Regions from separate parts of the Mus musculus genome. Here all the other regions are reported to be linked to region 6. Evidence: microRNA targets listed by miRTarBase, many of them from high-throughput screens and not tested one by one. Region 6 holds a microRNA gene; each other region holds the end of a gene's coding sequence.

Evidence for each region. Region 6 holds the annotated microRNA mmu-miR-24-3p (UGGCUCAGUUCAGCAGGAACAG, at 3,357-3,378, opposite strand). A microRNA usually pairs through its seed, bases 2 to 8, with sites in the 3' UTR of a target mRNA and lowers its output. Matches are read on the target gene's strand: a 7mer-m8 pairs with bases 2 to 8, a 7mer-A1 pairs with bases 2 to 7 and ends in A, and an 8mer does both.
Region 1: miRTarBase lists Plod2 as a target of mmu-miR-24-3p. Seed matches in the 3' UTR shown: 7mer-m8 at 640-646.
Region 2: the mRNA of Rasal1 is a reported target of mmu-miR-24-3p. Seed matches in the 3' UTR shown: 7mer-m8 at 4,299-4,305.
Region 3: miRTarBase lists B4galnt2 as a target of mmu-miR-24-3p. Seed matches in the 3' UTR shown: 7mer-A1 at 3,456-3,462 and 8mer at 2,824-2,831.
Region 4: miRTarBase lists Acvr1b as a target of mmu-miR-24-3p. Seed matches in the 3' UTR shown: 8mer at 1,178-1,185, 7mer-A1 at 1,696-1,702 and 7mer-m8 at 2,347-2,353.
Region 5: the mRNA of Zhx3 is a reported target of mmu-miR-24-3p. The part of its 3' UTR that is shown has no 7-base or 8-base seed match.

The regions. Positions count from the first base shown.
Region 1 is chr9:92,606,767-92,611,837 of GRCm38, forward strand. It overlaps Plod2 (procollagen lysine, 2-oxoglutarate 5-dioxygenase 2), which reads left to right. Exons shown (of 19, transcript NM_011961.3): 18 at 1-123; 19 at 309-1,662. The coding sequence ends at 464. Among named protein-coding and RNA genes, the nearest start is that of B430319G15Rik, 66 kb to the left of the region's middle.
Region 2 is chr5:120,678,495-120,683,565 of GRCm38, reverse strand. Rasal1 (RAS protein activator like 1 (GAP1 like)) reads right to left here. Exons shown (of 22, transcript NM_001359144.1): 21 at 4,873-4,943; 22 at 3,969-4,644. The coding sequence ends at 4,538. It overlaps Dtx1 (deltex 1, E3 ubiquitin ligase), which reads left to right. Exons shown (of 10, transcript NM_008052.3): 5 at 110-271; 6 at 444-505; 7 at 828-986; 8 at 1,101-1,262; 9 at 1,356-1,445; 10 at 2,094-3,302. The coding sequence ends at 2,318. Among named protein-coding and RNA genes, the nearest start is that of Dtx1, 31 kb to the left of the region's middle.
Region 3 is chr11:95,861,595-95,866,655 of GRCm38, forward strand. It overlaps B4galnt2 (beta-1,4-N-acetyl-galactosaminyl transferase 2), which reads right to left. Exons shown (of 11, transcript NM_008081.3): 11 at 1,965-4,682. The coding sequence ends at 4,477. Among named protein-coding and RNA genes, the nearest start is that of n-TQttg6, 4.9 kb to the left of the region's middle.
Region 4 is chr15:101,210,129-101,215,199 of GRCm38, forward strand. It overlaps Acvr1b (activin A receptor, type 1B), which reads left to right. Exons shown (of 9, transcript NM_007395.4): 9 at 609-3,556. The coding sequence ends at 734. Among named protein-coding and RNA genes, the nearest start is that of AU021063, 8.6 kb to the right of the region's middle.
Region 5 is chr2:160,766,913-160,771,983 of GRCm38, forward strand. It overlaps Zhx3 (zinc fingers and homeoboxes 3), which reads right to left. Exons shown (of 4, transcript NM_177263.3): 4 at 3,535-4,713. The coding sequence ends at 4,703. All of the region lies in intron 32 of Plcg1 (phospholipase C, gamma 1), which reads left to right. Among named protein-coding and RNA genes, the nearest start is that of Plcg1, 38 kb to the left of the region's middle.
Region 6 is chr8:84,207,182-84,212,252 of GRCm38, reverse strand. Mir24-2 (microRNA 24-2) reads right to left here and starts at 3,438; the gene lies at 3,332-3,438. It overlaps Zswim4 (zinc finger SWIM-type containing 4), which reads left to right. Exons shown (of 14, transcript NM_172503.3): 14 at 1-1,311. The coding sequence ends at 307. It overlaps Mir23a (microRNA 23a), which reads right to left and starts at 3,735; the gene lies at 3,661-3,735. Mir27a (microRNA 27a) reads right to left here and starts at 3,581; the gene lies at 3,495-3,581. It also overlaps Mir3074-2.

The DNA of each region.
Region 1 (5,071 bases), not on the chromosome of region 6:
TTTGCACTGCTGAATTTTGTAGTAAAGTACTCACCTGAAAGACAGCGCTCGCTCCGTCCCCACCACGATGCCTCAACCTTTACCATCAACATTGCTCTGAATAATGTAGGAGAGGATTTTCAGGTAATTATGACAAACATATGAAAAAAAAAAGTTTAGGAACTGTGGTATTATGGAAAAGGCTCTGCTGATATTTGTTTTTTTGTTGTTTGGTTTTTGTTTGTTTGTTTTTTGCTCGCCATTTAGATGGCACAGTTTGAATGTTGCTACTGATTAAAAATGTGCATGTTTGTGTTTAACTTTTTTAGGGAGGTGGATGCAAATTTCTGAGGTATAATTGCTCCATTGAGTCCCCACGAAAAGGCTGGAGCTTCATGCATCCTGGGAGGCTCACACATTTGCACGAAGGACTTCCTGTTAAAAATGGAACACGATACATTGCAGTGTCATTTATAGATCCCTAAGTTATTTACGTAACTCAAACTGAATGGCTCTCTGAGATGGATGACTGGCGTGAACATGTCTCTGAAGTTGTACTTGAGAAGACAAGAAGAATAATGTCAACAGAACAACATCACTTTGGGCCAAGCATTTGAACACTTTTTATATAAAATTGTGTGATGTCTCTTTATGTCTGCTCTGAGCCTTAAAACACAGGTTGAAGAAGAAAAGAAAGGAAAAAAAAGTGAAAGTTGGTATTTATTTCTGTGCTTTAATTGTCTCTGAAAATAATGACAGTTTATAAAATGTTTAGGTACAAAGGCATAAATGATAATAAGTAAGCCTGGTAATATGTTCTTATTTAAGAAGAACCTGAGAAGGTTTTATTTATCGGTGGGGGAAGTATAGCAAACGGTTCTAAATGAAAATCAGCAAACCTGAAAGCCTGGGATTCTGACGCCTACTGGCTCTATGTAATTATTAAGTCACATTGACCTCTGTGTAGGGCTGTTTTCCAGGAATTAGGAAGAAAACCCAAAGAAAATATTGCACAAAGGTTTCCCTCAGGAAACCTAGTGCAGATAGCCATGGAAGCATAGCCACTGGAAAGGAACAGTGCATGAGGCAGATGTTCGTTTCTGGTGGAAATTGGGCCCCTGTGTTCCTCCAGGGCAAGTCTCAGGGGAAGCTCATGTCTTTCTGCTTTACAAAGTGCTTCAAGCGTCAGCTCCAAGTGTCCTTATGTCAGCAGGATTTGTTTCCTTCTAGTCCCCCCCCCCCCCATTATAGAAAATAGTAAGGAAAAATAACAGTTTCATTGAGATCAGTAGTAAATTTTACTATGTTTTTTTTAAAGCTTACGTACTTGAATTTTATATCAGGAAGATGGTTTTTGAGCCTGTTCCTTACCCTTGACTATAGTTGGTAGTTGGTCTCTTTTTTCCCCCTAGGGGAGGGGTTTTTCTTTCCCTCACTGCAATCTATTTTCTCATTCTTAGTCTCCTTAATTACTTTTCCTCTACCCTACTTGTTAAAAGTTCCCACAGCAAAATTTTTTATTTCAATTTTTAATATTTCTCCAAATGAGGTTTAAATATACTATAGCTACTGTTTTTAATTTAAAGGTTAAACTTGAAGAAAGTCTTTATTCACGGTGCCAAAATTCATTTTTCTAACTCTGTGTGTTAGGAAATAATGAAAAATAAAATAATTTAAAATAAACATTGTGCCTCTCTGTCTTATTGGTGTTTCTTTAGAACTGAATGTATCGTAAACTAGCCTGAAAGCATATCTGATATAAAAGCCGTAATTATTTCATTTACCTTGATGGCTTAATAGTATATCAGTTACTACGTACATTTTAAATTCAGCTATATTTTTCTACTCGTACGGTGACAGGTCATCTTACCAGGGAGATGATATAATTCATTCTATAGGAGTGCAAACGAAAGCCATACATTCACTCAGTCTGCATCTTTGTCTAGTTGTAGTTTTGAATATCTGAGGATCCAGGTTCTGTTCCAAGCCATGAGGATATGGTGGTTCCGCTCTCATGCTCACCAGGAAGAAGTGGGATTCCCTCCTTGTGCTCTTCTTGGTGTCCCCAAACATGCAAAGTAGATCAGCCAGATTGAGGACGCGTTTTAGTGATGATTTATTAATCTAATCGCACTCCAGGCAGTGTTCACAATTAGTAGATCTGGTCTGGCGGTGGCACCATCCAGGTCCAGCAGACTAACAGACTTACTCTCTGCAGGCTAGCCTCGGACACATGCTACACTGTCCAGAGGGGGCCAGATGCCAGGCGTTGGCTCCTTCGTGACACGTCAGGCCATGTTTTCAGGAATTGAGTAAACACAGCACATTAGCAAATTTTCGGGTTTCATTTTTCGTCTCCCTTTAATGAAATAATACACAGTGTATCCTAGAATCATAATTAGAGTAAACCTCCCACAAGTAGATGATACAAGTTAAAGATGGGGAGATGTAGGATTGGGTAGGTGGAGAAAATGGACTACTGAGACGCTGATGGGAAGAGTTCCTGGAGCCATGATTCATGTGTTCTTTTCAGGAATAACAAAATGACAGATGTCTCTGCAAGAGAGTGTGTATGAGGTAAACATCATGCTGCTGGAGTGTAAGACCAGCAAGAAAAAAATCCATGTCCTCTCTCTCTCTCTCTCTCTCTCTCTCTCTCTCTCTCTCTCTCTCTCTCTCTCTCTCTCTCTCGGTGTGTGTGTGTGTGTGTGTGTGTGTGTGTGTGTATAAAATTCTAGAGAGGAGCATAAACGTGTGAGACCTTGGAAGAGCAAACGGATTTTGTGCTTTTTCCTTACAACTGCAATATTTCACTATGTGAATGCATTTAGGCATTATTGAAAGAAAACACACACAAAAAATCATTTACATGTCTAAAAGGACAGGCTTGCAAATCCTCATGATAGTTATTTTGCTCCACATTATTTTTCTCCTTTTCTTCTTTCTTCCGCTAATGTTTGAAACCAGAACCTCTTACTCCCGTTCATTATACATGCCTCATGTCTGCTTTTACTAACTATTTATGCACATGGAATCAGTATGAAAGTTGTCCCCTAGAACAGATCATTATATTCTAGTATTTCATTCTCTGTTCTGCTTTACCTTAAAAAATAACTAATATTGGTAATTTCATAGAGTAAAATTTTGGGAAAAGCACACATGAATGTAATAAGCGGAGCTCTGAGTGATAGAAGTAGCCCACTTTCTTGCTAGTTTGCCTGCTGGCTAAACACTAGAGCACACCTTATGTGTTAGTGTTTAGACATGTCATTCATTCAGAGTTTGGGACCACTTACACACCAGATCCCTTTAAATGGCAGACAAATCTAATAGAATTTAAAATTGCTGTTCACGGTGGAGAATCAGTCTGTATAAATAACTTCCTTTCACTAGATGCTGTTTTTGGAAAATTAAATTATTTAGGACATCATGAAAGCAGGCTTTGTCAGCAGTGTTTTTCTGTGGCCTTTCACAGAACAAGTACAGACTTGGAATTGTTATTAAATATACATTGAAGGAAAACATAGAGGCTGTGTGAGTGTGTGTGTAAAAAACAAGCTTTGATTTAAATTAAGAAAGTAGAAAAGTACATGGATGCATGCTTCTAAAATGCAAACTGAGCTGTGGACTGGGCTTGGAGCCCATTGGAAGGGCTCTTGCCATACAGGTACATAACCCTATGTTAAGTTATAAGAGCGTTTTTTGTGCTGTCAAGTTGATGATGTTCATATTTGTTTATTTGTACATTAAGAAACCAATTAGCATGTTTTGTCTTCACTGAAAAATAAGTGGCTTCTTTTGAATATTAATATTCTTTGTAAATTAGGAATTTCTGCCTATATTATATAATAGTAAAAACATGAGTCATTAATTTAAAATTGCCATAGCATGCCGTAAGAGTCACCGTTTCAAAGCCTCATTTTTGTAAATTACGTTGTAATTTTGTAAGTTACGTTGTCACTGAGAATTAAGGGACAGAGAAGTTTCCTGTGAATTTGGGTAGATAGTAAACTGCTCTGTGCATAATTGCACAATAACTTTTTAAGTAATTTAAAAAGGTGTTCCTTAAAGTGTTGTTCAGTGACCTTTGAGACTGTAATAGGATCTCTTGGAAGATCACGGGGTAGTTGAATCTGCTGGAGCTTGTAACAGCCAAGGCAGCATCGAGCCAATGGAAACATAATTGATACTAAGCATTAGTGATACATAATTGATAGTTGGAAAAAAGTATAGAGTTTCGATAAGTTATCTTCTTAGATTGTGTTTTACTAAAGCCTTCTCATCTGGATTTACATGGTTTGTGTTTGCAAACTATGACATCACAGCTCCACCTTGTGGCTAGAATCCACGGATGATAGTCTAATCTAAACATGAGAATCCAAAAACTTGAATTTCCCTTTAGTTATTCCTAAGCGTTTTTTTTTCTTTAGAGCTAGTACTAATGAAGATTGAAGAGATGATTTTTCAAAGGTTCTTTTTAAATGATTTGCTGTGCTCTGTATCAGTGTTTCAAAAGGAGTAATCGCAGCACCTCATTCTCAGAGAATGGGCATGCCTCCAGTTAATGCTAATGAAATGGATTGTCCTCAATTCTAACCTCTATTGTAGGCTTCTCATTTAAGTTTGTCTCACCTAGTAATGCTAGTAACTGCTAGCGTGTGTTACTAATAAAACTTGTATAGAAGATGTCAGACGCAGGTACATTTGATACATTTTGGAGTAGACAAGTTATAGCTATACCACCACAGGAACAGGTCTCGAGGAGTCTACAAAGAAGAAATCTTTTCAATTACTGTATATGAAAAAGAAAGAAATAGTAATTGTGAAATAGTAATTGTGAGTGCTCATTACAAGGCTGATGGCTGGAACATTAAGGACACATTACTGTGGTTAAAAAAAATAGAAACTGTGTGATTGAAACACTGAAAGTTACAATGTGCATTTTTGACATTAATGATGTTTTTATAAATGGAGAGTGGTTGTCAAAATAGTTCTCGGCTATGTCTGCTTTTCGTGTTCACCTGTTCACAACCACCCTTTCCTTGTGCCTTGGCTATTTAACCAAACTAAAGGGACCCAACTCACTCTACAG
Region 2 (5,071 bases), not on the chromosome of region 6:
GTGGGCAGGGGAAACACCCTGCCCTCCACCCTCTGTGGCACCCACCCAACGATGAGGAGGGCGTGGCTTCTCATGACTCCACCCCCTCATCACTACCCCCACCCACCAGGGATGACCGGGATCCTGCTGTGTGCAGCGGGGCTGCCGGTGTGCCTGACACGAGCACCCAAACCCATCCTGCACCCACCACCAGTAAGCAAAAGCGACGTGAAGCCTGTGCCTGGAGTGCCCGGCGTGTGCCGCAAGACCAAGAAGAAACACCTCAAGAAAAGTAGGTCCCGTGTGACCCCCAAACACAACTGCAGTATTCTTAGGACCCAGCATGCACCTGCCTCTGCTTTCCGCCAGCCCACCCTTCGAGCCCTCCTTCCTACCCCTCCCCCATCTGCTCCCCAGCACTTGAGCCCCACCCCTACTCCTCCCTCGTCCCGCTGTCTCTGCAGGCAAGAATCCTGAGGATGTGGTTCGGAGGTACATGCAGAAGGTGAAAAACCCGCCTGATGAGGTGAGCCAGCCAGGTGGAGCCTCAGCACCCAAGACCAGTTCTCCTCCTGTCCATCCTGGCCTCACTGTCCTCACCAGATCCTGGGGGGGTGGGGGGGCGGAGCTTAAGTTTAACAGCATCGCACCTGTCCATCTTTGTGATGGACGGTTTTATGCCAAGTCTTCCATTCCGGCTTTTGCTTCGGGTGATTAAGCATTTAACCCCTGCTCAGGGGCTAAGCAGGCAAGGAGTCAGCTCCAAGATTTTCCATCTCCTCCCCACGAAACTTTGTACCCCTCTCTGGCCTTCCTCATGGCCCTCCCCCATCTCCCTGGCCCTCCAGGACTGTACCATTTGCATGGAGCGGCTGGTCACAGCATCTGGCTATGAGGGCGTGCTCCGAAACAAGAGTGTGCGGCCCGAGCTTGTGGGCCGCCTGGGCCGCTGCGGCCACATGTATCACCTGCTCTGCCTGGTGGCCATGTACTCCAATGGCAACAAGGTGGGCCACAAGGTGGGCTGCCGTGCAGTGGGAGGGGGCCGTGCGGTGAGGTGGGCAGTGGGTGCGGGGCCCCGGTGGGACCCCAGGGGCCTCACAGCAGCACCCCTGTCTCAGGATGGCAGCCTGCAGTGTCCAACCTGCAAAGCCATCTACGGGGAGAAGACAGGGACACAGCCACCAGGGAAGATGGAGTTTCACCTCATCCCGCACTCGCTGCCTGGTTTTGCAGACACCCAGACGATCCGCATCGTCTATGACATCCCCACGGGCATCCAGGTGAGCTCCACAGGCCACAGCCCCAACTCTCTGCCCCTCCCCCAACTCCCCGATTCCGTCAGTGGTCTGAAACCCTCCTGCCTGTCCCTGCAGGGCCCTGAACATCCCAACCCAGGCAAGAAGTTCACAGCCAGAGGCTTCCCTCGCCACTGCTACCTACCCAACAATGAGAAGGGCCGAAAGGTGAGTGCCCACCTGGTCTCCACAATAAATGATGGCAGAGTCCCCAGCCGCTATCTTTTATTTGTTTGTTTATTTATTTATTTATTTATCTATTTATTTATTTATTCATTCATTTACTTATTTTGGTTTTCTGAGACAGGGTTTCTCTGTATAAGCCTGGCTGGCCTCGAACTCAGAAATCCACTTGCCTCTGCCTCCCAAGTGCTGGGATTAAAGGCGTGTGCCACCACTGCCCGGCCGCAGCAGGCCCTGAATCTGCTTCCTCTCATTCACTAGCTAAACAAAGGTTCACAGAGGGTAAGAAACTTAACGCACAGTCACACAGCAACCAAGTGGCAGAGGCAGGATTTGAACCCAAGTAGCCCTTCAAACCCTCATCTTCACACTTAGGGCACCTGATTTTACCTCTTTAACCAAAAAGCCAGCACCTTAGATTGCCCTGTGAAATCTCCAGATCTTTAATCGTGGGAACTAATTCACAAACTGACTCTTTAGTACTAAGAGTGGGGTCTAAGCCCTGCCTGTACTAATGACAGGCTCCGAAAGAAACAGAATTTTATGTAGTGAATGGATGGTGTAATGTAACAGGCATAAGGATCAGACTGCCCGTTACATTCACTCCCATCCCCCTATCCCCCCCCCCCCAAGGTGCTGAGATTGCTCATCACCGCCTGGGAACGCAGACTCATCTTCACTATCGGAACATCCAACACCACGGGCGAGTCGGACACCGTGGTGTGGAACGAGATTCACCACAAGACGGAGTTTGGTTCCAACCTCACTGGTCACGGCTACCCCGACGCCAGCTACCTAGACAACGTGCTGGCTGAGCTCACCGCCCAGGGGGTTTCTGAGGCCATGGCCAAGGCCTGAGGCCTGAGTTGCCCGCCTTCCCTTTTGCCTTGCCTCTAGCCTGGCACATGCCTCCCTCCGCTCTCGGCGGGAGGAGCCAGAAGCGCTAAGGGGATCTGGCTGGTGGCTGTGGGGGGGGTGATGGGAGTCCACCAGGCCAGCTGGCTCCAACCTGTGGCTTCCGGCAAGAGCAGCAGAGATAGGACCACCAGCAAGGGCGACTTCCCTATGGAAAACGATGGCGCTTTGCCCTTCACACCACACACAAACGCACACGTGTCCTGTTGCACGCACGCACTCACGCACGTACACCACGTGCCTCTCCACTTCTCCCAGCTTGGGGAGAAAGAGACAGAAAGGCCCCCATGACATGTCCTGTGGAAATACCTGTGTCTCCATTACATCTGTATAGGCTCGTCCCTTTCCCAGGACTTGAGTCAAGCACGGGATAGTGGGGGGGACTCTGTAAGGCTTCAAGGGGTCGCTCTGCCCCTGGGCCTCAACCCCTTAACCCACGTCAGCGCTGCCACCTGCCCACTGAGCACTGCAAAGCCAATGGGGTAGAAACCCCAGGTTATTAAGTAGCTTTTCGCAGGCCACTGGGGACGAGGCTATCTTAACTTTGTGCTTGTGTCTATCTTTCCCGGGACCCTGACTTCTTCTTCTTCCTGTGTCCATCTCTTGACCTCTGTCTATCCCAGGCAAAGACATCGTCCTTGCCTCTGTACCGGCTTCTCCCCCACTAAACCGCTCCGGACATTTGAGACCCACTTCTGGCTTCAGGAGCGAGGGGAGGAGGCCTTGTTCAGGCTATACACGCATCAAGCTGAGCAGGCAGCAAAGCGTTAAACTTCTCCCTGCTTGAAAGTGGGCGGTGGGCGGCTGATCGTCTCAGGCCAACCAGAGGCCCGTTGCCCAGGCAACTCACCAGCTCCGCCTCTGAGGATTGGCTGCTGGGATGGAAGTCAGCCAAGCTTTAAAGGGACGCCAGCAATTGCTCTTTTGGAAAAAAAAAAAAAATCTACCAGTCCCACTGTGGGTGGAGAAATAAATGGTCTTTCTCCTTGTCAGGCCTTTTTCTGCCAAGAGAGGGTGCTGGGTGACTGTGCTCCTCTGGAACACCGGGAAGACAATAGCAAACGGAGGACCACGGTGGGGCGGGGGTGGGGGTGGGGTGGGGTGGGGGAGCAGTGCATGGGTCTTGTAACTGCCCAGTCATGCAGCATCAAGAGAAGTAGACAGGATTCTCTTGCGTGCAGCCCTCCAGGAGAATGAGGAAGACCTGGGAGACACCATATCAGCTCACCGAGGCCACCCTACCCTGGAGCAAGGAGCAGGGGAAGAGGCTCTGGCAGCTCAAGTGGACCCAAGCCTGTGGGAGATGCCCCAGTTCCAGGCGACCCTTGCTGGTCACACATGGGATAGCGCCACACCCTGCCTTTCTGTCTTAGGCAAACTCAGAATTCACAGGCTCCGCCAGCCGACTTCCTCCGCTGTGGGTCACTCTCAAATCATACCTCACACTCACAGAACCATTGAGCCCCAGAATTCAGATGCCCCCCCAGACCGTCAGATGCATTCAGTGGCTAGGGCAGGGTCTGGGAACCTCTGTTTCTAGCCAAGGAGCTTCTGACTGAGCCCTAGGGTACCCCGATTTTAACACGTCACGGCTAAGCATGCTCACGCATCACTTTATACAGGGTATAAGAGAGAGGAAGAGCCTGTGTCCGGCTTCGAGGCTCTGAATTGGCATGCTGGGCCCCCAGTCCGTTCTTCTGAGAACACCTGGTTGGGGCTGCCAGATGAGAGTGGAATACAGAAGGATCTGTGAGGTCACAGTGGCTAGCAGAAGTGGAAAACAGGAAGTTCCTGGCCAAGCCTATTGAATGCTTTTCTGAGTCCGCCAGGGTTGGCGTTCAGGTACAGCTGTATCCAGCAGCTTGGGGTGAGATGGGCGCCACGGGTATTGGAAGGGCTGTGTCCAGTGAAGCTGAGACTCCAGGCTCAGAGAAGAAAGTGAGGTTTGGTCAGTACAAGACTGGGCCCTACCAAAGGCTCCTATGCCCTGGCTGGCTACAGAGCACACAGGACCAGGCTTTGTCTGGGAGGCCCCAAGCAGTGAAGAAGGGGGCCTCAAGAAGATGCCTGGGCCAAAGAATGCTCAGGGAGGCCCCATGGCTCTGTCCCCAGCTGGCTCTGGCACTTTCTCAGCATCCAGCATCCTAGAGGGCCACTTGCTCCTATCCCCGTTTCTGGAACTCCTCGTGGGCTTGCTCCAAGTCTTCAAGTACCTGCAGCAGGTGGGTTGTGGCTGCTCTCTGCTGGGCCAGAACCTCAGCACAGGGCCCTGGAGGGAAAGAAAAGGCCACAGGGTTCATCAGGCTTCTGGTGGTTGTTACAGATTCCACCTCCTGATGCTGTAGGGTTTTTTCCCCCCATGCAGGAAGAATCCCCAAATTCACCAGGATACTGTCCCATTGGTGAACTGGAAACAAGAGGGCATGCAAGAGCAGGTGTGCTTGGCAAACCGGGGCATGCATCTGTAAGGGACAAGAATGGAACTCTTCTCCCTTACCGTCTGTGGCACTGGAGTCCCTCCCAGGGTCCACTTCTGTGTCCAGGCTGGAATCCTCCAGCAGTTTCAGCCTGAGAGTTGATAGGAAAAGGGACAAGGCTGGTTTCTGAGGCTCAATGCTGCTCCTACCCAAGATTCTCTGCTGCTTGTAGGAGAAATCTCGTCATCACCATGGTTACAATTGTCATCATTATCACCA
Region 3 (5,061 bases), not on the chromosome of region 6:
ACTGTCCTCTCAGGTGACATGCCAAGCAAACTGGCCTTGTTGGGCCCCTGGTTGCCTCAGTCCCTGGATTCTTGGCCACTTCCCTGAGCTTGCTTTGTCTACCCCCTTCTAGTGCTATGAGCTGTCCACTATTCTGCTAAATTCCTCTTCTGTGCATGCAGTCACGAATGCAGTTAGTCCAAGTCCAAGCGCTCATTTGGTAAGAGTCTGACAGTTTGTCCCTGAGTGAATGGATAAGAGATTTTCTAGTGTGGGTGTGCATGGCGGGCGGTGTGCACGCCTTTAATCTGAACACTCTGGAGGCAGAGGCAGGCGAGTTTGAGTCCAGTCTACAGAATAAGTTTCAGATCAGCCAGGGCTGGGCTATTATCGTACAGGGAAACCCTGTCTCCAAAAACAAACAAACAAACAAAAAAGTAAGAAGAAAAGAAAAGTAGTTTGTAGCTCTTGCATATTATCAGAAGGAACACTACAGAGTTTCCATTTTGAGAATTAACCCCATCTGACATTGAGATTCCTGATAGGTTATCTCCGACGATGAAATGAGCCAGCTCATGCCAAGTTAAAGTATAAAGGCAGGTTTATTGGAGGCAGCTCTTAGGCAGGTTCACCAGTCCCAAGAAATGAGACCAGGGAGGTCACCGTGCAGACAAGGAGACAGAGCGGAGGGGGGAAGAGAAATGCAGAGGGGGCTGGGGGTACAGGATGCCCAGACCAAAACAAAATGTCTGGATTATATAGTGAAGAACCTCTGAGGAGAAGCCCAGCCTCTGGGCTGCAGAGTTCAAGTAGGGACTGAGGGATGCTGGGAGAACCTGGAGGCCAGGTCTGCTTTGGTAAAATACCAAAACCTCAGCCTCTTGTCCTGGGTCTGAAACCCAGTACCTCAAGGCTGTGCTTGAACACTAGGCATTTGTAGACCTCATTTATTTTCCCGCTTATTTCATTCTTACAAAGGCCATGTGAGCTGGGCGTGGTAGCACATGGCTTTAATTCCAGCACTCTGTGGGCACAAGCAGGCTCATCTCTGTGAGTTCCAGGAGAGCTAGGGCTACATAGAGACCTGCCCCACCCTCCGAAAGGGTCCCATGACTGCACAGGACACATTGGCATAATTTCCCCCTCCCCTCCCCGCCCCCCCCCCCCACTCCCGGTCCACTTTCCAGGGTTCACTATATAGCTCTGTAGCTCTCCTGCCCCACAACTGGCTCTGTAGACCAGAGATCGAAGACATTGTCACCACAACTGGCCTGGTATGGGTTCTCAAGAGGATTATATCCCTACAGCGAGTGTGTAGGTGACAGTGACTGCCTTTGTGTCCCCACTTCTCCATGCTCAGGTTTGTCCCAGGCATTCCCCACACCTTCTTTCTTAACTTAATCGAACTGGCACACTCACTGTAACCCTACTTGTGTTCCTCTGGTGGCATTAAAAGATTGCTTCCAGCCGGGCATGGTGGTGCACGCCTTTAATTCCAGCACTTGGGAGGCAGAGGCAGGTGGATTTTTGAGTTCGAGGCCAGCCTGGTCTACAAAGTGAGTTCCAGGACAGCCAGGGCTATACAGAGAAACCCTGTCTGGAAAAACCAAAAAAAAAAAAAAAAAAAAAGATTGCTTCCCTGTCTTTGCTTACTGCAGTATGAATTAGCAGGAAGGGGGTTCGTTGTGTTTCTGTTTTTTGTTTTTTAACCTGCCCTCTCACTCCACTTGATGTGGCTGGCAGTCTCAAGAGTGGGCCCTGGGCCTTCATAGTCTTTAAATGTGGCTAATGTTTTAACAGACTTGGTCACTGAGCCACTTGCTTTGGGACACGGGAAGACCCAAAGGAAGAAATGTTCCAGTTTTGTGCTCAGAGACTCTTAATATCACCCTGCCATGTGACACTAACCTTGGGAAGATGGGGACAAACATGTACTCACTCCAATCAGGAACCAATGACGGATCAAAATAAGCACACCACCCGAGTCCAGTATAGCAGACTGATGAGTTTTATTGGGGTTACAGACAGAAGTATGGGTGAGGGGTTACCGCAGGATCACAAATGACTCGAAAGACAGCGGCACCATGAAAGCTCACCATGTCACAAAAGCTGTAAACTTGAAGCCCTCTGTACAACTTGCAGACAGCTCAACAGGTTAGAGAATGTCTGTTTCAGGCAGCTCAACTTGTCTGAGAGTGCCTCTCAGCAGTCTTCACAGCTAATATACTTGGAAAAGAGGGGGCCTAGTCTGTCTGGTGGGTTTCAGGGAGTCCCTGAACCCTTTGAGTTGAATGGATGTCCTTTTAGAACATCCTGTGTTCCTGGGGAAGAGGTGTTACTGGATCATAGGAAACTAACTCACTCTCTGTCTCTCTCTCTCTCTTCTGGAGAGATGGTTCTAGATCTTGAAGTAGAGAAAAGACTGTGTTTGAGCATGCTAACGACAACCCAGTCAAAATGGAGGATGTTAACATTTGCTGTGAGAATGCCCAGGGTTACAGACTGGCAGCTATGCCTTACTTCTGGGAATCTGAACTCAAGTCCTCATGCTTGGGTAACAAACACTTCACCTTTTGAGCCATTTCCTCAGCCCCTGATTTTGGTTTTGTTCTGAAAACAGAACAAAACAAAACAAAACAGAGCTCACTGCCTAGCCCTGGCTAGAGGATCTCTGAATTCAAGGCTGGGATTAAAGGCCCACACCACAACTAGCTGGCATGTCATTCCTCGCCTCCTTACCCACTGGTGTTTGGCTTTCTATGGTCTAGCTCAGAGCAATATTTACCTCAGGAAGTAAAAAATAAAGTGTAAGTATGTTCAGAGTGTTGAAATGGGCTGGCGAGATGGCTCAGAGGGTAAGAGGATGGACTGCTCTTCCAAAGATCCTGAGTTCAAGTCCCCGCAACTACATGGTGACTCAACTACCGGTAATGAGATCTGACACTCTTCTAGTGTGTCTGAAGTCAGCTACAGTGTACTTACGTATAATAATTATAATAATAAATAAATCTTTGGGCCGGAGTTAGCAGGGACTGAGAACAGGGTTGACTGGAGTGAGTGGAGATTCTATCCCCAACAACCACATGAAGGCTCACAATCTTTTCTTTCTTTTTTTTTTTTTTTTTGGTTTTCCGAGACAGGGTTGAAAGCTCACAATCTTAACATCCATCTTAATATCCCATTAAAATCAAAATATAAGCCGGGCATGGTGGTGCATGCCTTTAATCCCAGCCCTCGGGAGGCAGAGGCAGGCGGATTTCTGAGTTCGAGGCCAGCCTGGTCTACAGAGTGAGTTCCAGGACAGCCAGGGCTACACAGAGAAACCCTGTCTCAAAAAGAAAAAAAATTATAATGAATAAGTATATTTAAAAGTCAAAGTTTAAAAATCAAGCTAGAGACTAGAGAGATGGCTTATCAGTTAAGAGCACTGACTGCTTTTCCAGAGGTTCTGAGTTCAATTCCCAGCAACCACATGGTGGCTCACAACCATCTGTAATGGGATCTGATGCCCTTTCTGATGTGTCTGAAGACAGCTACAGTGTGTGTGTATGTATGTGTGTGTGTGTAAATTCTTTTTAAAAATCCAAGCCAGAAATTGTGGTTCACACCTCATACCTCAGCACTGGGAAGTGGAGACAGGAGGATTGCCATGAGTGTGAGGTCAGTCTTACACAGTGAGTGCTAGGCCAGGCAGTCTTGACAAAATAAAATCGGAATTATTTGGTTAATATTTAGCCATTCACTCATTCCTTCATTTATTTTAAAGCGTATTTTGTGTGCATATGTGTGTGCCTGCGTGTATGTATGCACCACTCATATGCAGGAGCCTTTGGAGGTAAGCAGATGCTTCCAATTCCCTGAAACTGCAGGTATGAAGTTGTGACTCATCATGTGGGTCCTGGGAGCCAATCTAGGTCCTCTGTCCTAATCGCTCTTAAGCACTGAGCTCTCTCCAGCCCCCTAGTCACTCATTTAAAGATGGGCTGTTACATAGCCCAGGCTGGCCTTGAACTCAATCCTCCTACTTCAGTTACTGGGCTTTGGGATCACAACACTACACCAACCTTATCATCTGGCTTTAAATAACATTATTTTAGATCAACTTATTGCCTTTTTAAGATAAGAGTTTCTCTGTAGCCCTGGCTGTCCTGGAACTCTCTCTGTAGACCAGGCTGTCCTCAAAATGCGCAGAGATCCACCTGCTTCTGCCCCCGGAGTGCTGTGATTAAAGGTGTGCCCCACCACCTTCCAGCCCTTGTCTTTGTCTCATTCCCTGCCCTTTCTCTCTCTAGGGCAGATAAATCTCTGTGCTGAGAATTTGGTCTTGGGGGTCCTGAGCCGACTTCAGGGTCCTACCCTAGCTCCAGCTTCCAGCTTCTTTGTTCCCTGTTCCCCTTGTTAGGAGTCTGCTTTTGGTACCCTCCAATGTCCAATCCTACTATTTTTTTTGTTGCCCGCCGCTAATCTGTTTATTGCGATTCCTGGTCTTGGTACTTTTTAAGTGGAGCAGTAGAGATGGTTCTTGAAGTACTGGAGTGCAACCTTGAATTGGATCACAGAATTGGTGTTGGCCCGGTATTTGTCATAAGTCTTCTCCAAGGCAGCCAGCTTTGGATCCTTTGGTGGTGTTCTTACTTGGTGGTTTATAATTACACCCGGGCAAGAGCCCACCAACAGTCTCCCCAGCCCATCAATAAAGAACTCTGCAAAGAGAAGAGGAACGGGAGACAAAAGGAAGCTAAAGACAGACAGCTGTGGTTCCCCACCCACGCCGGACAGGGAGCCCTGGAGCTGAAAGGAAAGAAACAGATAACCTCAGTTTCTCAGATTGGAGAGTGGGCGTCAAGTCCGCTGGGTTCCACTAAATGGGACTGTGGGTTCTGGAGAGGAAGGGGTGAAGGGAGAGGGCAGTCCCTAAGTGCAGTTTTTGGTGGAAAAGACGTTCTGAAAGAAGACTGAAGCTGAGAAAGGTAGAGGGCTGAGCTGCGGGGAAGGACGGAGAAACGTGTCTCAAGTGGGCAGAGGCAGCATAGGGAGACACCGGGAGATGAGGGCGGCAAGAGGGACCATGAGTTCCACAGT
Region 4 (5,071 bases), not on the chromosome of region 6:
TTATTTCTGCAGCTTCATTGTTACAGACAGACATAACATTTGCAGCTGACTTTACACTAGGTTAGGCTGTGGGAACTACCACGGTCAAGCCACTCAACACATCTTTGTTTATATATATACACTTGCCTTATGACTGTGCAGAGAGCATTCCAGGTCAACTCTGGGCAGATTTCAGCTCTGCTAATTCTGAAAACCATTCAGAGTTAGGACGTCCTCTTCCAACCTCCTTGCCTCCCATGTTAAGGAGAGCACACTCTACCTTTAAAGATCCTGGCCACTAGGGGGCGTTTCTGCACCTAGGAACCCATTGAGGGCTCCTCAGTGCCTACCAGTTGCTTGTGGTTGCAGAAGAGAGCAATATTTTCCAAAATGCTTGGGTGCCTTAGATTTAGCTGAGGGCGAGATAGAAAGAGCCAGACTTTCCTGCTGTCCGTTCTCCCCTTGCACCTCTGCCCCTTAAGGAAGGGAAGGCCTAGGAAAAAAGCCTCAACGCATCACGGGGTGGATCTGACCTGACGAATAGGCAGGCAGCGAAGATGAGCCAGTGCCAGCGGCCAAGGCTTCTGTGGGTCTCTCACTGCGGGTCTCTCACTCTGGGTCTCTCACAGGCCTTGCGAGTGATGGGAAAGATGATGCGGGAGTGCTGGTACGCCAATGGTGCTGCCCGTCTGACAGCTCTGCGCATCAAGAAGACTCTGTCCCAGCTAAGCGTGCAGGAAGATGTGAAGATTTAAGCTGTTCCTCTGCCTACACAAAGAACCTGGGCAGTGAGGATGACTGCAGCCACCGTGCAAGCGTCGTGGAGGCCTACCTCTTGTTTCTGCCCGGCCCTCTGGCCAGAGCCCTGGCCTGCAAGAGGGACAGAGCCTGGGAGACGCGCACTCCCGTTGGGTTTGAGACAGACACTTTTTATATTTACCTCCTGATGGCATGGAGACTCTGAGCAAATCATGTAGACAACTCAATGCCACAACTCAAACTGCTTGCAGTGGGAAGTACAGAGAGCCCAGTGCATCTGGCGTGTTGCCAGGAGCGGTGAAGGGTGCTGGGCTCGCCCAGGAGCGGCCCCCATACCTTGTGGTCCACTGGGCTGCAGGTTTTCCTCCAGGGACCAGTCAACTGGCATCAAGATATTGAGAGGAACCGGAAGTTTCCTCCCTCCTTCCCGTAGGCAGTCCTGAGCCACACCATCCCTTCTCATGGACATCCGGAGGGACTGCCCCTAGAGACACAACCTGCTGCCTGTCTGTCCAGCCAAGTGCGCATGTGCCGAGGTGTGTCCCACATTGTGCCTGGTCTGTGCCACGCCCGTGTGTGTGTGTGTGTGTGTGAGTGAGTGTGTGTGTGTACACTTAACCTGCTTGAGCTTTCTGTGCATGTGTAGGCCAGGGTGTGGTGGCCATACTGTCTCTGAGTGCTGCTGCTTCTCAGTGAGCAGCATGTAGTTAACCTGGTGCCCTCCTAGGTGTCTCCTGTCCCCAGACCCCATCAGTCAGGGAGGTTCTGTCTTCTCAGCAGGCTGCTTGCCCACCCTGTGTCACAGGCCCTCCTCTTCCATTTCAGACCAGAACCAAAGCTGGCCCACTTGTCCATGGTAGGAGAAGCTTTTGGGTCAAAATGAGGGGGACTTGATGAGCAGAGAGAGAATGTAGGTGGAAGTCTTGGGTGCTGTGTTTCAGCATCAGCCATGGGAAATGAGCCAGCCCAAGGGCATCTTCCTTGACAGCTGTGAGGAAGGGCCGAGGAATCCGAAGCCAGAGCTTGGGACTCAGATTGGAATGTAACATCTGTTTATGTCCCACCCCAGATTCTGCAAACTGCAGTGTATATTTTTGGTGGTGGGTTTGGGGTGGGAAGGGATGGGTTGCAGGGCGTGGGGAGGGAGGCTGGGGTGGGAGGGAGGCATCTGCATGGGCTTCTTGTACTGGATTCTCTGATCAGGGTAGAGAAGAGGCAAGGCTTGCATCCACTTCAGGGTCCCTACTGAGGAGAGTGAGCGGTCCGAGCTGAATATGGTGTTTAACCTAAGTTTAGTATTTAATGAATTCTAGAAGCCTGGCTGTGGGTGGTGATTTGGTCAGCATATCTTAGGTATATAATAACTTTGAAGCCATAACTTTTTAACTGGAGTGGTTTATTTTAATTCAGTTTATTTTATTTTATTTTGGGGGGAGGGTCAGGATTTTAACTTTAATATTGTTAAGTTTTGTAAAAGGAGAACCATCTCTGTGACAATTACCTCTTAGTCTGTTTGTTTTTAAAGAAATCCCTAAAACAAACAAAACACAAAAATTCTCCAGACTCAAACGCACATAGTTCAGTCACTGGAAACGCTTGTCTTTGCACCTGAGCCTGATCCCGCTGAGCAGTGAGGGCTGCTTTTCCCCATGGGGGCTTGCTGTCTCGTACTCCCTGCACCCTCGGCCCCATCCCGTGAGCACCTCGGCCCTCTGCACATTGCCCGGCTGGTTGGACCCTTTCCAGATACTTGCTCAGCAAATGTGGGCTGCGAGCCTGCTGAGCGCTGGCCCGGGAGGATCTCCTCAGGGTGGGGCAGGCTTGGGCGCTGCTCTGCTCCTCTACCACTGGAGGGAATGGAATCATGCGATGGGCGAGCACCTGCTGTGGAGACCAGAAGTGCTCATGGCTGGTCCTGAGAGCCTTGATGAGCTAGGATCACTGTTCTTAAAGACCACTGAAACTGGAAGGGGGACCTGTATCCCCTTGGGAAGAGAAGCCCCTGGCAAGCAGTGGGTCCTGGAGACTGGGTTCATTGTGAGCCTTTCCTGCCAGGGGAGGCATGAGTCTTTGCAGGGAAACTGTCTCCTCCAGCTTCTCCTGCCTTGGTCTCCCCATATTCTTAGCCTTTCTATTTATTTCCTGGTGTATAACTTTCCTTGCTTTAAAGGGATCTTCCTTTAATTCCTTGGGCCAATTTACTGGCCATTGAACAGTGTCCCTTGAGTCCCAACTGTGTCTCTGGGGAACCTCCTTACCCACCCCTGCTGACCTCCCACTTCCCACCCTGCAGCTGAGTATCCGTGATTACAGGCGATTGAACTGTAGAGTCCTCTCTGCCTCTGTACCTGCCAGCAGCAGCCTCACAGTGACCCCCACGCCACTGGACAACTCCCAGGAGACCTGTGCGCTCCGTGCAGCTCAGCTCAGCCGCCTCTCAGGAAGCCTGGAGCAGGTCTGGGGGACCCCCCCCCCATCACTCTTTACATTAAGCTGAGAGTTGGGAGAAGCTGTGCTTTGGCTCCCTGAGGCCACCCTGATCCACGGGGCACCCGCACCTCTGCGTTCTGGATTCACAGACCAAGTCTAAAGCCCGTTCGTTCCTGAGTTGCCGTCAAGGCCCCTGAACGGTACTCTCGGTACTTCTGTTTGTTTTTTGTACAATTTATTAGAAAGGACTGTAAAATAGCCACTTAGACACTTTACCTCTCCAGTATGCAAATGTAAATATATTGTAATATAGGAAATTTTTGTTTTAATATAAGAATGAGCCTGTCCAGTTTCTGCTGTACATTATTAAAGTTTTATTCACAGAACTGCTCTGATCCCGTCTGCCTTCCATATGTAATGACTGCCTGGGGCTTGGCCGAAGTGGGGCCTGGGTCCCCTGCGTGCTGCACTTGAGCAGAACATGTTCTCTGCTGACCTGGACAATTAGGTCTTCTGGGACTGGCTTTGTGTGGTCTTTTAGCATTTTGGTCTGTTTTTTCTAAAAAAAGATTTTTGATTCTGGGTAGTCATGGGCCACTCCCTGTCCATGGCAATGTAAGAGACTCCGGTTTTGCTTCCCTCTCCTCGACTGAAGTGTGATGCTTGAGCTGTGGGGTGCTTAGGAGACTGAGGCGAGTCTGCATGCTTTAGCTGGAATTTTCAGAGCATGGATAGATAGTTACTGATCTAGTTGGTGGCTGGGCCTGGGAGAGCGGAGCCTAAAACTGAGGTGGACTGAAGTCTCACACAATAGCCAACCTCATTGAGAACATCAGACAGTTTATACGCTGGGAGTTAAGAGACATCACTGGGGCAAAGTTCTCATCGATTCAAACCCACGTGGCAAACACGCTTTCCACTGGAGGCGCGTGGACAAGTAACGGTAGCTAGTTGAGATGAATGAATAGTCTCAAGGAAACACCTGTGGGCCTCACCTGAGCAGAGCACAAAGCACATTCCAAGTTTTGAAGAAACTAAGGTCACTAGACTCTTATTTTCTTGGATATTTCTCAGAACACTCAGAATTCTCACATGGCTCCATTCTTTTTTTTTCTTTTCTTTTTTTTTTTTTTTTTTTTTTGGTTTTTCGAGACAGGGTTTCTCTGTGTAGCCCTGGCTGTCCTGGAACTCATTCTGTAGACCAGGCTGGCCTCGAACTCAGAGATCTGCCTGCCTCTACCTCCCAAGTGCTGGGATTAAAGATGTGTGCCACCATTGCCCGGCACATGGCTCCATTCTTGGACCATGTTCCAACAGGCTAGGTGCACATGTAGCTCTGGGCTGGAGCTACAAAGCAACAAGTGCTAGGATAGGAATCTCAGGTTTGGATATGTCCCTGCAGATGACTGTAGGTCACACGCACTGCACTGTGCCCTAACATCCAGGCCCACAACTTCCACTTGCAGACTGCTGTTGTAGAAAGGACTTGCAACTTCTGCAGGTTTTCCATCTCAAAGGCTGTGAAACTGTTTGAAGGGAGCAATCAATGTTAGCAAAGGCCTACTGAAAACATGTAGCCTCCAGATGACTCAGTTTGTTAAAGTGCTTGCATGTGAGATAGGAGACAGAAACAGGATCATCTCCTAATGTCCACATACAACCTGTGACACATGAAAACACACATGAGTCTAAAACCTCAGCTTTCACTGTAACATCACTGTAGAACCTGCCCACTGTTCCAACCTTTCACATTTTAGGAGATCTGGTTATTATCCAGGACTTTCTGTTGTTCTCCCATCCGTGTCTGCCCAAGTGAAAGTCAAGTAACTGCTCTCTATAATTTTGCTTTAAGTTTGCCACATACCCCAATAACCCAGTCAGCTATTAATTTGCCCTGTTTCCT
Region 5 (5,071 bases), not on the chromosome of region 6:
TTGGGGGAGAACAGAGCACTGGCAGCCCTTTTTATATTCAGTGATTGAGCAGGCTTTATCCTAGGCAGTTTACCTTCAACTCAAGTTCTGAATAAACTGAATCACCCACTTTCCATGGAAGGGAACATGTGTCAAAAGGCATAGATCAAGAAAAGCTATTAACATACAGGTGCCCACTGTGGGCACAGTATGCCAGTCTCTTGACAAAAGTGGCACTGATAGCAGGTAAATGTGCAAGCCCCTCCCAGGTGTTCTAACTTGCCATTTGCCCACCCTTGTCAACAGCAGGAAGACACCATGTAGCACAGTCCCTGCCAAATAGCTGTCCTCCCTCTCTTCTGCCTGGTTCCTGCCAGAGTAGCTGCAAGGTATGTTTCAAGGAGGGAAGAGACAACAGAGTGGTAACTTCACTGAATCCATTCAGTCCCACATCCATAAGAGCCTGAAGAACCAAGGAAGCGGGTGCCTACCTCTTCCTTGTAGCAACCAGAATCTGCCTTAGTCTGTAGTAGGCAGCCCAAGTGTTCTCTCTGGATTTACATCCCTGCTCCAGAATTTAGGGAGTTGGGAAGAGGTGTTCCTGCTAGACTCAGAACTAGAAAACCCTGTTTTGGCTTTCCAGTCTGGGGGACCAAGTTCATAGGCCTGCTGGGTTAATAAGCACTCAGAACAAAGCAGGCGCTCAGTCCTAGGGCCATTCACTCTCTGAGCTGCTTTCACACCACAACAAAGTACAAATTCTGGAAAGTACATTTGGGCTTGCCACTACCTAGATGCCAGCCATCCCTAGTGGCCAGGCACAAGAGATCACAGATTTTGGCAGAAACAGACTCTGAGAACCCCATTCCTTTTGGATTTCTAGCTAGTAAGCGATGTAAACAGCAGATAGTACGATCGTCAGTTCTGTCATTAGTCAAAACTAAACCCAGCCATTCCACTGAAGACCCTCAACAGCCTTATTAGCCCTAGAGGATAGAGCGCAGCAACCTACCTACTCCACTGAACCAAGGCAGAAGAAACTGCAATGTGGATAATTCAGGCTCAAGTCTTGGGAGACCTGTACTTAGAAAGGCCTGTGGGCTCCAGTGCTATAACACATGGAAATCAGCTCATAAAGGTTTGGGCAGGTTGGTGGTGAACGGTGTGCTCTTATAGGAGAAGATGAGGCTAAATCAGGGATGTTAGCGAAAAGGCTTCAGTCTAGTATAAGAAAAACCAGGCAGCATGCCAAAATTTGGATAGGATGAGCTGACCAAAGACCTTTATGTATCTAGAAGACTACTGCAGAAAACAGAGCCTTACAAATGAATATGATAGAACTTCATCTGCAAAGTGGCTTTAGTAAAAACACAAATTCTAAGTTTTGTTTTAGGATTTCCTTGGCCGGCTTCCCAGAAAGTGCCTTTGGGCTGTGACAGTGGCACTGACTGAGCTGCTCCACTCTGAGGGTTTTGGTCCACGTAGAAACTAGGAAGACAAAAGGTAATGGCTCAAGATAGGGACAGCTCAACACTCACCTAGAGGACAAAACGAGTCTCCAACCAGCAAGGTTGCTCCCTCATCCCTACCCTCCACAGGAGGCAGCTGTGTGACAGATGTCCTAGGGCCAGCAGGGAGGAAGGGACACAGGTATGACATAGCTACTGTCAGAACAAGTAAAATCTCTGAGAGCCATCTGGGTCTGGAGAATGCAGCTGAGCTTCCTGGTAGCACATACCCAAGGGCAGCTGGAGAGAGACTTAGGATACAGGTAGCTACCTACCAGGTCCCACCCAACTCTCCTTGTGCTTCCAGAGGGGAGGGTGCCCTCGTGCTAAGGTATTTTGTTCACTGGCAGCTGCTGACACCCAGCCAAGAGAAAAGTGCAAGGACCGTCACTAGTAGACCTCAAAGTCATCTAGGGAAAGGACTCCCAACACTAACACACCCAACTACCAAAAGAAAAAAAAATCTGATCAAAAAATTACAAATAATATGCAAAGCTTATGTATAAGTTTAGGTTTCTGTTAGAGTTGGTTCTGATCTGTAACTGAACTGACATATATGAGTAGAAAAAAATCAATATACAAGACCAGCACAAAAGACACTTAGAATGTACTGCCTCTGGTAAGTCCAAGTGAGTGCAGAAGATAGGGCAAGACTCACCATGTCACAAAGCACACCTTGTTAGGAGAAGCACATTCCACCCCACCTCAGCAGCCACGGCCAGCCTTCTATTGAGCCTCCAACTGTACAAGGCCACTGTGATGTCACATAGTAACCATAGACCTGGTATCTGCCAACCTACACCCCAACTCCTCTGTCAGTGCACCCATGCTTGGTACCCAAAGCCCTTCCCTGGAGTGCCTACGCTATGACCACCTCCCTCACCATTATCTATCAAACAAGGTCCAAGCCACAACTTCCCTCCCCTATCCAAGGGCAAAGGAAGCAACTTGTTTCTTACCTGAACAATCTTGCCATTACCAGCTCTGAGAAAGGTGTGCTGGGGCCAGTGTTACTGCAACTTCCCATCCAGAAGACTACCTAGTGCCCGAGACCAGGCTGCTCTCTGTGTCCTGCATAATGTCCACCAAGTAACGTAATGTTTCTGTTCCATGTACATTGTTCAGACATTTTTATAGTCTACTGTTCAGCTAGTGCAGCAGGGCTCTGGAGGAGAAGCCCAGCAGGCGTCTGGGCTCAGGTGAGACACACATGCTTCTTAGACAGGAGATGGCTTCCCCTGCTGCTCCAGCTGCCCAGTATACTGTTCTCTCTTCACACACAGACTACTTCCCCCTAGGCATCCACATGAAGCTCAAATGCACATCAGTTGTACGATTTATGAATAAAGTATCAAATAAGTATGTGTCCTGTATATATGGATATGTAAATCTGCACATATACAAACATGTTCTGGAGAACGTTCAGGCTTCTGTTCTCTGAAGAAAAACAATCACTCACCATTTATTCTTTCCAATTCCTCAAGGTTTGGGGCCAAATAGCTTCCCTCCCCAAACAGAAAGGATACAAAAATAGGCAACAAAACTTGCCAAGTAGTCAAAAAAAAAAAAAAAAAAAAACCCCAAAAATAAAACAAAATAATAAATTCCAATCAAACGTGAGGCCATCCCTATGGGAACAGGAAGGGCAGGAGAAACAACTTATAATGGTTCCAGGGCCCTGGATTACAAAAAAAAGCCCTCTTTCCTAAAAGGCTGAAGGCCGCCATGTTCATCCTCAGACTATTCCCCTCCCCTGGGAAGGGAGGGAGGAGAACACCTGGAAGTTGACCACTGCTTCTTGGTTTTCAAAGCTCTTGCCCTGCCTGTGGGTCTCCTGATGGAATCTCCAAGAGGTAAGTGGGGCTATGATGACACATCCTGTTTGTCATCTTTCCCTCCCCTACCCTGCTTTGTCTACTGCTCTCAGAGAAGCCAGCCTAGGTGAGACTGGGGCTTTAATGTTTAGTACAGTTCCCTAAGCAAGTTTTCCATTGTTTCAAAGGCACCATTTCTTGTGATTTTAATTAAAAAGACATGAGGCTTAGGCAAAAGTAGATAGAGTACTTGTTTCTCAGGTTGGGAATATAAATGTGGAACTTTAAAAACACCCTCACAGGAATCTGTCCAGTGATGCCCAGCACCTCTGGATCATGAAACCAGTAGCTGGCCAGGGCCCTTGGTGTGTGACAGGCATTTTGCCAGGAACTCTGACCTGCAGGTCTTTGTGTTCAAGAACAGTGTAGCTCTAGTCACTTCAAATCTCCCAAGCCCTTCAGCCTCATTCTTCCTCCAGCCACCATGTATTTCCTTCTGACCTGCAGGAGGCATTGAGCACTTTGGTGACCAAAGCCACAGCAATTGGCTCTACTTTGATCACTTTCCTTTTGTTCTAAAGGAGTCTGGATTGAAGGGCTGAAGGGAGCTACAGGTCAGTAGATTGGGCTTTACAACAATGGTTTCTTTAGTTGATCTGATAATGGAGAAGTTGGTCCATGATTCAAACTCAAAAACAAACAAACAAACAAAAAAAAACCAGAATTACAGTTAACTAAAGAGAATGGTTAGCATCCAATGGTAATGTCATAGCTTGGTTGTGTTCAGAACTGAAGGTAACAGTGGGCTCTTTGTCAATCAGAACACAAGACAAGTCTGGCACAAAATGTGGCTTGCCTCCACTCAGTGATGCAGAGATCTCTTCCAACAATCTGTTCCCTTGAGAAGACAAGTAGGGCCAGGCCTGGTGCAGTTCTGAGCATGCCTGGGACTCCCACTGTTGCAGAGGATGAGGGTCCCTGTGGTCTCAGCTTCCCAGAAAACAGACATGGCATTGTCAGAGCTGTACTGTTTTGGTAACCCGAGTTCCTATGTATTGAAAATGTCTGTAGTAGTATGCTTTATTAAATGAATATAGGCAGCTGTATATGCTAACAACTTGATTCTGGGTCTAGGTATATGCAATCTGAATTGTCCCTGGGAGGCCATGGAAAGGTCCTGCTCTGTGGGAAGATGGGCTGATGAGAAACCATTGCTATTTGCTCAGAAATGTCAGGCGGAAGGTGGTTGGGGCGGTGGCAGGTTCTGGGTTCAGCGAGGCTCCAGAGGCTCTCCTGGTGCCTGGCAGCTGGCCATCAAGATGATATGTGGCAGTTTTGGCCCTTCCACATGGCATACAGCATCCCAGACTGGCCGGTCCTTCACAGTAATCAAGATCAAATTCAGTCTGCTTCTGAGGAGAAAACACATACCTGTCACTCCATGGCAGCTACAACGTGTACAGTCCCCAGGGATGTCCTATCCTCACTATCCTGGGCTGGTATCACTGGAGTTGGGGACTCCTTAATTCCACGAGGAATGCCAGGCCACTGTCCCCTCCAGCCTGAGAGGAGGTGAAAGAGCAGAGTGTGGGTCAAGGACAAGATGCTGGCTCAGTTGGACAAGGCCTTCAGACATCTTAGGCTCCTGTCACTCACCTAGCCCATCATCCTGGCCTCTGACCCATGATGCCTGTTAACCCTGTGTTCCAAAAGTCCTGCCTCCTGCCCCCAGAGCTCTGAGCTCTGACATCTCATGTACACCTTGCAAGT
Region 6 (5,071 bases):
CTCAGCACCCGGGCTGGGCCCACTGGGGGCCCGCAGGGCTACCAAACCACTAGGGACTGACAGGGCACCACTTTGTCAGCTTCTGGATGCCGCAGTAGCCGCGTACATAACCACCAGCCACTCTCGCCTCACCCACATTAGCCCACGCCACTATGGTGACTTCATTGAGTTCCTGGGCAAAGCTCGAGAGACCTTCCTTCTGGCACCAGACGGGCACCTCCAGTTCGCACAGTTCTTAGAAAACCTGAAACAGACGTACAAGGGAAAGAAGAAGTTGATGCTGTTGGTTCGGGAACGGTTTGGCTGAGGAACTGCAGAAAGCCGGGAGCATGGGTGTCCCAGGCCCACCTTCCTCAAACAGGAGGCCCATGGCTACTTGCAGTAAAGTTACAGAGGTGGGAGGCAGAGGGTGACATCATTCCAGGTGTGTGCCTAGGAGTGTGCAGACAAACGGGACATGCGATCTGAGGATCCGAAGCCATACTGCTAACTAGACCCTGCAGGGAGTATGTGCCTGGGCACCTCACACGGAAGAAGCAAGCTCTGGCTCTTCCAGACTCCCAGGGTCAGCTGGGACTTCCAGGAGAAGGGCTGGGCCAGAGTGAAGTTAGGCCTCCAACTCAGTGCAGCAGATGCTCCAGAGCCGGAGCTGGCCGGAGCCTAGGCACTTCACATCAGGGTAGTTACTTCCCACTGTGTTTCTCCCCTCTCCACAGCTCAGGGCTCCTGTCCCACTGCCCTGCGCCCCCAGCCCCAGCTTTCCAGCACAAATGCCTCACCCCACTGAAGGATATTAAGAGGTCTTGGGCCTCTGCCACATACCTCACCCCCAAATACCCTTGTCAAGCCAGGGCCTGTCTTCTCTTGGGCACCAAGGTCACAGGGTAGGCTGGGGACAGCTCTCTGCTGGCCAGACCCCACCACTAGTAACTGGATACACAACTCAGGAGTCAGGCTGCCCTCCAGCCTGTTGTGGGAGGCACAGGCAGACAGCCAGGGACCCCGTTCTGTCTTCCTCTTGCTCTGCACCTCCATTTGTTTCCCCACTCCCTTAGTTTCCCCATGTCTGCATCTCTCTCAAGTCCCAGCTGCTGACAGGCCTTCCTGTATCCCAGGCCTTGGCCCAGGGAGGAAGAGAAGGGAGAGCCTCCACCCCAGACGCACCTGTCTTCTCTCTTGTATATTAAGGAAAAAGTTGGCATCATTTTGTAACTTTTTTTCTTATTTATTGAACCCCATACTGTATTCTTTTCCTTTTTTTTTCCTTTTTTTTTAAAAAAAAGATTGAACACAACTTCTTTTTAACTTCAAGACTGGGTTGCATTGCTAACACAAACACCCGGGGCCAGGGGTACCTACCACCTGCTCAATTAACCAAAAAATTTTCCATCTCGGTTTTTGGGCACAACTTGAATGGGACAGGAGAGGCTGCTGGTTTCTTCATGGCATCGTGGTGACACGAAGAGCCACCTCTTGCTGGTGGCTTTACTGCTTTTCCATCTGCATGTCATAATCTCTGCAAGTCAGGAGGCTTAAAACGCCCAAACCTAGAGTCTGTAGGTTTTTGGAAAATGCACCCAGATTGCACTGTCCTTCATTGCAGGAAATGACCACCAGGGGGCGTCTGGCTCCAGACAACGTCATTCGGAGCTCCGGAGGTCTCACCAGGTGCGGAGGGCAGCTGGGGACGCCTGTGTCCCCAGTGACCTGCCCATTGCATTTTTGGGCTGTGGATGAGACTCCCGTTCTTAGATGGATTCATCCAGCGGACGGCCTGGGCATTCTTCTCATTCTCCGGTTCTTTATGTCCTTAGCTGTGTCTGACAGGGTCATTGTTTAGGACCGTTCTCTTGGAAGCTGTGTGTGTGTGTGTGTTGCCTCTGTGGGGCACTATGGGAGCTGGCTGTGACTATGAGTGTGGCCATAGTTCATGGTGCGTTCCTTTGCTCCAGGGAGCCGATCAGAGGCGATCCGCCCCTTAGCCCTTCTGGCGCAGACGGGCGCGCGCGCGTGCGTGCGTGCGTGCGTGTGTGTGTGTGTGTGTGTGTGTGTGTGTGTGTGTGTAGACGGGCGCGCGCGCGTGCGTGTGTGTGTGCATGCGCGCGTGTCTGTCTGTGCTCGCATATGTGCCCGTCCTTAAGCCCTGTGTGTGTGTGTGTGTGTGTGTGTGTGCATGCGCGCGTGTCTGTCTGTGCGCGCATATGTGCCCGTCCTTAAGCCCTGGCATCTTGCCAGTCAGTGCATCCCAGCATAGGCAGAGTACATTCTTGTAACATACTCCCTCATGGAACTGGGGTGACCACAGATTGGTCTCATACACCCCAGGTCTGGGTTATCCCTCCCGTTCAAGCCATCCCCAAAGGATCCCAGGATCTTCAGGTCGCAGCACCTACTGACCACAGAACTATATTTACACCTTCCTAGAAGCAGGTGGAGCAAGGTTGGGGATAGGTGCAATGCAGGTTAGGAGCCCAGGGTGTGGTAGATATAGTGGTGCAGCTGGTATTCCCAAACTCCAGACACTGGAGGAGTTTGATTCAAGGTCAGCCTGGTCTACACAGAAATGCTGTTTCAAGAGAAATGAAAAAAGCCAGCAACACACATGTGGGAGGCGGGAATGAAGAGACGTCAGCCCTTACGGAATGAGGCTGTGGAGCTTTTATTTAGTTGGAGAACAACATTCAATACAAGCTTTCAACTCTGTTCTTCCACCCAGGCTTCGATTTGCCCCTGCCCAGAGTAGGGAGAGGACACTGTATGGTCTGGGAAGTGTAACTCAGCCAGTTCCAATTAGTCTGCATGCAGTCTCATTTGTGGGTAGTAGGCAACTTTTTAACTTCCAAGCCTGGAGATTACTTCAACAGGCCAATGGGGGGGGGGGGCATGGATCTGTTCATATCCTGAGGCCTGTGTGGACCTCGCTCCCTGCCTCGCTGTCACCAGCAGAAAGCTGCAGACCCCATGGGATTGCTAGGCACACTGGATCAGGTCAGTGCCTTCTTCCGGAAGCAGAGAGTTGGCATTTAACCGTTAGAGGGCCTAAAGCAGCTTCCTCTTGGGTAACTGACTTCAAAGATGGTATGTATAAGGGGTGGTGCCTGAGCCCCACCAGACTTAGGAAAAGAAGGGCTTCCAGGCCCTGAGGGGACATAACTGGCTTTTAATGCAAGGGTTACCCGCCCATCTATCTGCTTTGGGGAACCACAGAAATCTCAAGGTGGACACCCAGATGCAGGCTTAGAGGCTGAGCCTCCAGCAGACAACGGGGCTTAGGTTGGACTAATTACCCCATTGTTTCCAGGTCTTGCTCACGGCAGACATTCTGCAGGGTTGCCAGCTCCTAGGGGGCTGGACTCCTGTTCCTGCTGAACTGAGCCAGTGCACTGGAATCAACTGTTTCAGCTCAGTAGGCACGGGAGGCGGAGCCCGGAGAGAGGCAGAGCCCTGCCAGCCAGGAGGCAGAGCAGGGTGGGCAGCAGCGGCCTGAGGAGATGGGGTCCAGGGGGCGGAACTTAGCCACTGTGAACACGACTTTGCTGTGGACCTTGCTCACAAGCAGCTAAGCCCTGCTCCTCAGGCCAGTTGTCATGATAGGCTTCTCTGTTACCCAGTACCCAAGACAGACATCCTTGGCGACAGGAGCCCCCAAGGCAGAGCACAGGGTCAGTTGGAAATCCCTGGCAATGTGATTTGTGACTGGCATCAAATCCCATCCCCAGGAACCCCAGCCGTCCGAGGCACAGTGAGGGGGGCAGCAGGTGGGAGCGGAGTGTAGCACCTAAAGAGAGAAAGAAGAGACAGTGAGATTGGAGCATTCTTGCTTGCCTGCCTATCTTGACCAGGCTGGGTCTCACATAGCTGAACACAAGGTTTCCGAATGCACCAGTTCTTCCTGCCTCTACCTCTGGAGTCTAGGATTATAGGTACACCTCACCACACACAGTTTAAGTGGTGCTGGGGACAGAATCTAAACTCAGCTTGCTGATCCACACCCTAGCCCTCCTCTACTTCCAAGAGGGAAGAAGCATTCCCAAAAAAGAGGAGCATCGATCCGTAGGAAGGTTGGAGCGAGGCTGCTGGATGCTGGGCACCCAGCAGTGCCTCTACCCCAGCCCTACAAAGCGGGAGGTGCCTGAAGCCCTAAGGCCAAAGGGGCTGCAGAGCCTTCCCAGCTGCTTCCCACTCTGCTTCTATCCCCACCCACAGCCCTGAGCCCAAAGCAGGCCAAATGGGGCCATGGAGAGGAAGCTGAGGGAGGTGGACGGTTGGAGGGAGGAAGTGACCTCACCCCAGCTGGCGCCACTTCCTAGAAGCCTGAAGGGCAGGAGGAAACTCCAGGGCCTCCCACCTCAGCCCTCTCCTCCCCAGCCAGCTCAGACATAACCCCACCCCCACCCCACACCACCTAGGGCCCAAGCAAGGAGAAGCAGGCCGATGCACCCCAACAATAACACCTCAGTAAAGTTTCCCCTAGGCCTTCCAAGCCTCAGTTTCCCCATCTGTAAAGCAGACTACAACAGTTGCAGTTGGTGGCTCACGTTTATCTCAGCATTGAGGAAACTGAGGCAGGAAGGTTGCCAAGAATGGAGTCAAAAGCCTGCTTAAGCTACATGATGAGTTTTAGGCCTAACTGGGCTACAGTTTGAGACCCTAGTCTTAAATAGAAGAAAAACAAAAATAAAACAACAAAACCCCAAACCTTCTACTAGGAAGGCCAGTGAAAACTTACAGAGAAGGTATTTAGCACCCAGTACCAGGGCAAGCCACAAAATTTGGGGCCTACCCAATGTAGAGTAGTGTCCTGCGTGCCAGTTAAAGTTTTCAGGGGCCAGCAAGCTGATCCAGCAAGTGAGCAGAGCTGCTATGGAGCCCAATGCCCTGAGCTCAAACCCAAGAACCACGAAGAAGAAAAGCATACGGACCCTTGCAAGTTGTCCTCTGATCTCTGCACTTGGGAACACACACACACAATTTTTAAAAATTGTTTAAAGAATTTCAATGTTGGAGAGATGACAGGTTTCTTTCCCAGAACCTACATGACAAGCACAGCTATCTATAGCTCCATTCCCAA